Coturnix japonica: one gene and its partner. The protein of the gene in region 1 purifies or fractionates together with the protein of each later gene. This does not show direct contact. Links are inferred from orthologs where the notes say so. Each region holds a gene or a part of one and is shown on either strand. Other genes may lie near its edges.

Region 1 (3,821 bases):
ACAGAGGACTGCCCCCCAACGTCTGCCTGCTGCCTACCCTATTCCATCCATAAGCACTGTTCAAAGTATTCTGAAGTGTTTCTACCAACCTGGCACTTTTGACGCAGCTGTCTCAGTTCTTTGATGACAGGAGCCAGGCTTGACTTCTTCTCTGCCACCATAGCATTTAATTTCTTTACCTGAAAGAGGGACAAAATGTTACACACTGATATTATGGTATTAATACATCTAATTTATTAGGATTGTGAAAAGAGTTGAAAACAAAATTATGGAGAGGAAAAAAAAGTGTGACAAAAGAAGACTGAACTGTATATAACTTAAATGCAGAACTAATTGAGAAAGGGAAAGAGCCTGTGTTGCACTGAGATCATTACCACAAACCAGACCAGTTCTGTTCCCAGCGTTTGACAGAACACCACAGACAAGACCAGCAGACCCATCTGCCAGATGCCATTTGGCTTCAGGAGAGGGGAAAACAAAGGAACTGCACAGAGTTGGAGTGGCAGAAGAGATCTTTGAATAAACCAACCAAAATAAGCCCTGCATAGGTGAAATAAAGTTTGAACTTGCTAAAACAGAATCACTTCAAAATATTTATACTGAAAATTCAAATTCTTCCCATCTTTCTATTTGAGATTCATCCTGTTTTGATTCTACCACTTTATTTTTAAAGTGCCCTAATGATTTTAAAGAATGCTATTTGGCTTTTGGCTCCTTTATAATATTTTGCTTCTATGGCTACATGGTAAGTTAAAACACTACAGATCTAAGGACAGCTGAAAATTAAGCTAAAGAGAAGAAATAACATTTAGTTCTTCAGACAAATGAACTATTTTTAAATGAATACTTAACCCTGGTGATTTACGTTTTATAAAATGATGCTGTAAAAGAGTCAAGCAATTAATCTAGTCAAATAGCAGGCAAAAAGAGTCAAAAATAGACAAAAAAATAGACAAAGCTTGTAATCTGTACTGTTTGAAAGTATCTATTTTTCTATATAAATCTATATTAAAAGTGAAAAGTCCAACCAAAATATTCAACTTGGTTTTATACTGTGAGGAAGCAGATATCGAAACGGAGGCAGTAAAACAGCTAAAGACAGACATCACCATTTCAGACATGTTGTCTAGCGTTTGGCCTTTCATTCCATCCACTTCACTCTTCACTGCAGATACTCTTTCCAGCTCCTCCTGAGTGTAACTGTATCCAGAAATACCTTTCTTGTCTTCAATAGCTTGCTGCAGACACAAAATAAATGCTGAATGTGAATCCATTAATTAACAGAGCAAATTACTTCATAAAGATGAAATACTGTAAGAAAGTGAAAAAGTTCTGCAATCCATTTATTTTAAAGGCGATTAGTAATGCAGCTGCCAAGACAAACTTTTTCTCTCGTGCCTGTACAGCAAGCTAGTAACAACTTCCTGTAGTACATCACTATTCTGTCATCTAATGCCCAATGAAATTAACAGGAAGTTTCAACAATGTGAAATGGGCTTTAGGTCAGGCTGTGAAGGAGCTCAATATGTGATATCCAGATGCTTAATCAGAAGATGCAAGGTAGCTGATCTCTTATAAGCAACTGTCAAGCTAAACTAAAGAAATACTGCATTAATTACAGCAATATTAATGCCAGATTACAACATCCTTGCATTATGGTACATAAAATTTATACTAAATTAAGTGCTGATGTAATGGAAGGAGGCTATTTTTTCAGTAAGCTGAAAGCTAGGTGTTGATTTGCAATTTGCAAAGCACTCATTCTTAAAACTGCCATCTATCCATGAACACCAAAGTCAATTATCCTCAAAAATCTTCTACAAGCATATGTCTCTACAAGGAGCTGCTGCTACTATGAAGGGAGCATTCTGCAGATGTTTACAGGCTGTAACACCAGGGCTAGAAAGGGTTCATTTGATATGAGGGGAAAACCCTAACATAAGAATGCAGCCCTGCTTTAACTGGAGTTAGTGAAGATCTACCACTGACTTCAGAAAGCAGGGTCAAGCCCCTCATTCTGAACAGAAATTGCAGAACATTCATGACTTCCTGTAAAAAACAGTTGCTGAATATGAAGTACAGCAGCTTAGCGCAGTCAAATAGATTTTGTTCCCTAACGACTCTTTTACTAATGACAGTAGGATGGCGTGCATTAGAAAATAACCAAATAGCATCCACCTTATTATATGGCTAGTTAGCAGGGAAGGAAGGGTGGTGGACTATAGGACTATTAAGTGCTTGCATTACCAACTGCTGCTGAATAGCCTCGTGCCGCTGTTTTAGGAGTTCTTCTGTCCTCTGGAGGATGCCATACTCAGCTGTAATTTCTGCTATTTCCAGTCGCTTCCTTTTATATACTGTGTTCTTGCTCCGGAGCTTATTAACATAGTGTTTAAGCTGCAGCGAGAGAACAGAAGTATCTATCATTCAACTTAAAGTTAAAAAGAGCATGGTCTCATCACAGACTGATCCTCTATAAAACATAAATATCCTATTTGGACTGCATGCTGAAGGTTAAGTGTTTAAAACAGAGGACTTGAATCGAGGATTCCCAGAGTCTATTTACTTTCAGCAGCGTATGCTTGCTGTGTGAGATAAGAAATCCATCTCCATTGCTTTATCCCAGCTCATCCATTTGCCATAGAAAAACCCTTCAGTTCTACTTACCACCACTGGACAGTCAGAAAACTAATTACTGTTTGCAAAATGTTTCACCCAAATCTGGAAGAACTGGGGATTTTATAGTTATATTGAAGACTAAGCAAAATAGTTCACATCCCTACAGCTAAATTACATTGGAATCCACACGTGCTCGATTTGCAAGATGAAAAATCAGGTGCTGAAACAAACATGTCATGTTTTTCTTTGCCTGAATGTTTTCCATCTGTCGAACAGGCAGAGCTCTCGGAGCTGCCAGTCACAGCTCTGAAATGCACTCAGATCCAACGATGGAAAACAAATAACATTTATTAGAGTAGATGCAGCAGGAACAGGCTTCAGAGTGTTCCTCACAGGAGCGTTCAGCCTGTGCATAGTGAACAAGTGACAGGACCAGGAGGAAACAGGAGCCTCACCACCTCAAGTTTAAAACTCAAACATAACAGAACTTGGATTTTAAGTTTTACTTTTTTTTTTTTCTTTTTGCAAAATTACGCCACTTTCCCTCTTAAAGAAGGGATGCAAAAAACCAGAGCGACCACAGCCTAAGAACCCCCAGAGTAACTGTATGTTCTATAAAAAGTCTCCTGGGCAAAATGCCCAAAATGAAATCAACCCTGTTCATCTGCCATCCTGTGCAATATCTAGGCCAAAGCTGCTTCTCTCTTGCTATGCTCCACAACTATTTTTAAAGCCAAAAGCTATAAACGTTTTTGGTGAAAGAACAAACCCACAAATTACTCAATGTGCTCTATGCAGATTGGACTATGTGTGGTTTGGAATACCATTTTACATTGTATGCGCTACCTAGGACAAGGATAGACAAGGTCACCTAATCCACAGCACTGTGCAGCAGAGGCAGTTCTCTTACAGTCATACTGTCATTGTTATACTACTGGCACACTTACTATAATATTACCAGAGTGAGCAATTTTTCATAGCAAATTCACATATACCCACCTAGCTAACAGACAAGACTTATTTTCTTTTGGTATTGCTTAGCTAACACCAAGTTTTCTGTGACTTTCAATACATTATAGAGCATAAATAGCTTCTCTCCAATTATTTAAGAGAAGCAGTCCTTCGTCTTGATGGAGTAGATGCACAGAGGTTTCATCTGATCAGTGGAATACCGTAAAGTGCATTGGAAAGGATGAAACTTA
Region 2 (3,821 bases), on another chromosome or scaffold:
TGTCCATATTCTGTGGAAGGATGCTATGATTTTTTTGGTCTATTTCAAAAACATCAATGCTTGTTCCAACCAGACCAAAAACATAATGGAAACAATTTCACAGCTGGGTTTTGTAATGTTTGCTTATGACTTTATCTGGCAGAACTTCTTTAATTTTTCCTTATTTATCTTGCTTTTCTTAGAAATGGTTTGTTGGAAACACAGCACAGTACTGTGTGAGCAGGATAGTGTTTCCTTATTGCACGGAGTACAGTTTTGTTTTTCACTGTGTTTCAGTTTTACATTTAATTTTTTTTTTAATGTTATTTTTTGCAGAAGCAAAACCAGTGAACTCACAGCAGAAATTAACAAGCTGCAGGAAGAAATAAAAATGTACAAGGAAGAGAAATCTGCTTATTTGTCATATGAGAGAAGGTGAGCTCTGTGGCACCTAACGCAAAGTTAACTTTCTCAATCACCAGACTTTGTTCTAGGCTACTATTCAGGCTTCAAAGAACCATTGAATTAGTCTTTTTTATTATTTCATTTGGATTAAATAACGCTTCCTGTTTTAAGTTTGGCTTCTTGCTTTGTATTCAGGGCAGAGGCTTTAGCTGGTGAAATCAAAGAATGGCAAGGTCAGCTCGAAGACTACAACATGGTATGCTTGTATCAGCTTTCTATACTGAAAACACGCTTTGCCCTTCTTTCCTTTGTTTGCTACTGATTTCGCTTTACTTCAACTTCTTTTTTCATTGCTGTTTCTCCTTAAAAGTGTAGTGGATAATGATTCTGAGTTTATTCAGTTACCAGAAGAGGAAAAAAGAAAACAGAAGCTAAGGAGAAAAAAACAAGAAATTTTGATATGTGTAAGCATAAGGTGTTGCTGATGCAATTAGGAAATCAGCGCTGTATGATAATTGAGTTTGTACAGCCGCATTAAATGAGAATTACTTCTTAGAACTGTGTGTAATCTGTTCAGGTTTAAAAGTCAAATCTTTTTGTTTCTAGATAAATACTGTATTTTCACAAATGCTTTGTGAGTTGCTACTTATTTTTCTGTTTCTTTTTTTTGTGTGTGTGTGTATGTACTTATTTTTGCTTTTTAACTAAGTAAGAATTCTGACAGGTTGAAATTCTGTCTATTATCAGGTTGTGGATCTACTTAATACCAATACAGACATAGCAGAAGTGATTCGTGATTACAATTTGGTAAGAATTAAGATATTTGGTATATTTAATCAACGGAATGGCATAGATTAGATGTCAGTGCTTTGAACACCTGACTTGTATAGAAAAGCACAATACTAGTTCAGAATATTTATTGTCTTTTCTAGTTTAAATTGGACATAATACTTGGCAACGTTATGTGTTTGCAGTGAGTTAGCCATGTAAAGTCTGGGCAGATGATAGTGCTTCTGTGAAGATAGTGCACCTGTGTCTTGGATTTGAGAAGGCTGTTTCAAAGTTAAATTGCAAGTGTTGCATTACATTATTTATCTGACTAAAAAGCACAGAATGCTGTGTGTTATGTTTTCTGTCATAAATAACTCCAATCAAGTCTGTGATGTGGACAATGTTTTTCATGATAATGAGATGAATTATCCAAGTATTAAAGCTTTCAAAGCATGTTCCGTTTCTTGAGACTACTTTTCCTGTTACTTTGGTAGCTTGAAAAACCACCTGTGTGTTTCTTGACCATTTTTATTTTCCGTGTTTGACTGAAAAATGAAGTCTCATTGTCTGTGTCACAAAGGGAAGAGAGCTCTGTTACACTTGCATTCTACCTCTGGGCTTAAGCAGTATTGTAGTAGTGGATCCCATAGTAATAGTATGGAAATTGATTTGCTACAGACTTGCTTGCACTTCTTTTTCAAGCACAGAAGGGCAGTGGAAGGCTACAATTTCAGAAACTATTTCTTCAGGACAGCCTCAAACAGCTCTGGAGCAGGAGGCCTCTGCTCCTCCTTTCTCTACTGCATTCTGAGCAGCTTCTTTCTCCATTGCAGAACCTTGAACTTGTGCATACACTATGTTTTCTTCTTATATATTATATTCAAATATATATATTTTTTCTTTTTTCTCTAGTTAAAAGTTCAGAATGACCGAGAAGCTCAGAGTGTGGATAAAATTTTCATGGAAAGACAAACGTAAGTGCACGACTTATATATGCCTGTCTAATACTGCCAACTCTTGACCTGAAAACGGTAAAATGGAGAAGTTACTGAGTTCAGAAATTTGTCAGCAGTGTCATCCATGAAAGTGACGATATCCCAACATTTTAGATCATATATCAGTGTCAAGTTGAAGCTGGAATTTCTGCCTTTAAATTCTTCTGAGTAACTACTGCGGTGATAACTTACCTTGTTATCCAGAAAGAAATAGGTGGCATTGAATTCTCCTGGTGTGTGGAGACCTACGGATTGCAGATTATGGGTGTTGTGTTGTAGCAGACAGGGAAAAGTAAAGCGTAAGTGGGGACTGGAACTGCAATTCCTGTCTGGTACAGTAAGGATGCATATAAAGAAAGTGAGCTGTTTGCAATAGGGATTTGTAAGTCATGAGAACAGTTGGTGATAGGCTGAAAGGGTGATATTTGTAAAATAGCGTTTTGCCATTTATTAAGAAGGCATTTTTCACTAAAGCTGTGGTTTTCAGCAGCTTGTAAATATGTCTGGTTTGTCTGTCAATATATTTCTAAGTGTTAACAAGGTGTGCAGAGACTTGGTATGATCAAGAACTAAGGCATAAAGGTATCAGATAAGTAGTGCTGCTTATCATTTTACTGTATGTGGGCACATTTACGTTGGTCTACTGATTCAGTGTAGATATTTATAGGTATTTGTTTTGCCTGTTAATGCACCGATCTGTTGGATTCCGTCCCCCAGTCTGTGTTCTATTTCAGTGATTTAAACAAAGAGTTTTTTGTTTCTGGCTTCTTCATCTATATGGTGTCAGTAATTACATCAGGCTCACAACCTCCTTTTAAGGACTTGGTCCTCTCAGGCAGTGTGGAGTAACCTCTTTTCCTCCCATAAATCATAGTGCCTTTTCTCAAACGTGAATCATCAGTATTCTATCATGTGTCAAAATATTTGTTGTGACACTAACGTGGACGTGACCAAATTTGTAACCTTTGTGATTTGTGCAGCTGTTCTCTGTCGCAAAATTCTTGAGATGCGAGGCTGCTTATGTTCCTTTTATACTGTATTTAAATAGCATAATATGGAAGGCTGAATAGATTGAAGAGTCAGTTCATTGTCCATTGCGTAAGATATTAGCTCTGCTCAGTTCCATAAGTATCTATGTATTTGTCCTCAATAAAGCCATCTTCCTCAGGTTCAGAAGTGTTAGTTTTGTCAAATATTACTATGGGATCCTCATTGTTTGTATCTGATATCGCAGGAAAAGAATTCATGTCAGCTGAGAACTCCTGTTCAAACATCTCAGGGTCGTTTTCTTCCAGACGACGGTGTCTGTAGCTCATCAAATACTGGTACCATGTTGGGCATTTTATGGCAGTAAAAATTAGGAGTGTAGTGCTTAAGACAAACCCCAGCACTCCCACGAGGAAGGTCCAGCTTTTGCCGAGAACTGGAAATTCTTTTAAAACAGACAGGAAAAAAAAGTTAGTTATATCTTCATGTGTAATCTCTGAAAGAACTCTAGTATGAATTTCTTAGTAGTTAGATTGAGAACACCTAAACAATCACAGGGGGATAACTGATTTATAATAAAGCCTGAAAAAATCACTTGTTTTATGGCTTTGATGAAAGAATAACGGTGTAGTAGGAATGTAAAATGATATGAATGATGGAACAGCAAATAAAACCTTGCAAGCA

What was found.
Region 2: the proteins of IFT81 (region 1) and IFT74 purify together in Homo sapiens (affinity purification with mass spectrometry; 3 studies listed by BioGRID and IntAct, counting the BioPlex papers as one, with this or other methods). This does not show direct contact. The link is inferred for Coturnix japonica from reciprocal best matches to the Homo sapiens genes IFT81 and IFT74.

What each region holds. Positions count from the first base shown.
Region 1 is NC_029530.1:4,608,738-4,612,558, forward strand, and holds part of IFT81 (intraflagellar transport protein 81 homolog), read right to left. Parts: intron 2,398-3,821; coding exon 2,248-2,397; intron 1,239-2,247; coding exon 1,110-1,238; intron 180-1,109; coding exon 90-179; intron 1-89. UniProt on the Homo sapiens protein: Component of the intraflagellar transport (IFT) complex B: together with IFT74, forms a tubulin-binding module that specifically mediates transport of tubulin within the cilium. Binds tubulin via its CH (calponin-homology)-like region.
Region 2 is NC_029547.1:60,475,813-60,479,633, forward strand, and holds part of IFT74 (intraflagellar transport protein 74 homolog), read left to right. Parts: intron 1-315; coding exon 316-414; intron 415-579; coding exon 580-640; intron 641-1,131; coding exon 1,132-1,191; intron 1,192-2,067; coding exon 2,068-2,129; intron 2,130-2,569; exon of another isoform or gene 2,570-3,256; coding exon of another isoform or gene 3,257-3,582; intron 3,583-3,821. Other genes in the region: LRRC19 (leucine-rich repeat-containing protein 19), read right to left, coding at 3,257-3,582. UniProt on the Homo sapiens protein: Component of the intraflagellar transport (IFT) complex B: together with IFT81, forms a tubulin-binding module that specifically mediates transport of tubulin within the cilium. Binds beta-tubulin via its basic region. Required for ciliogenesis.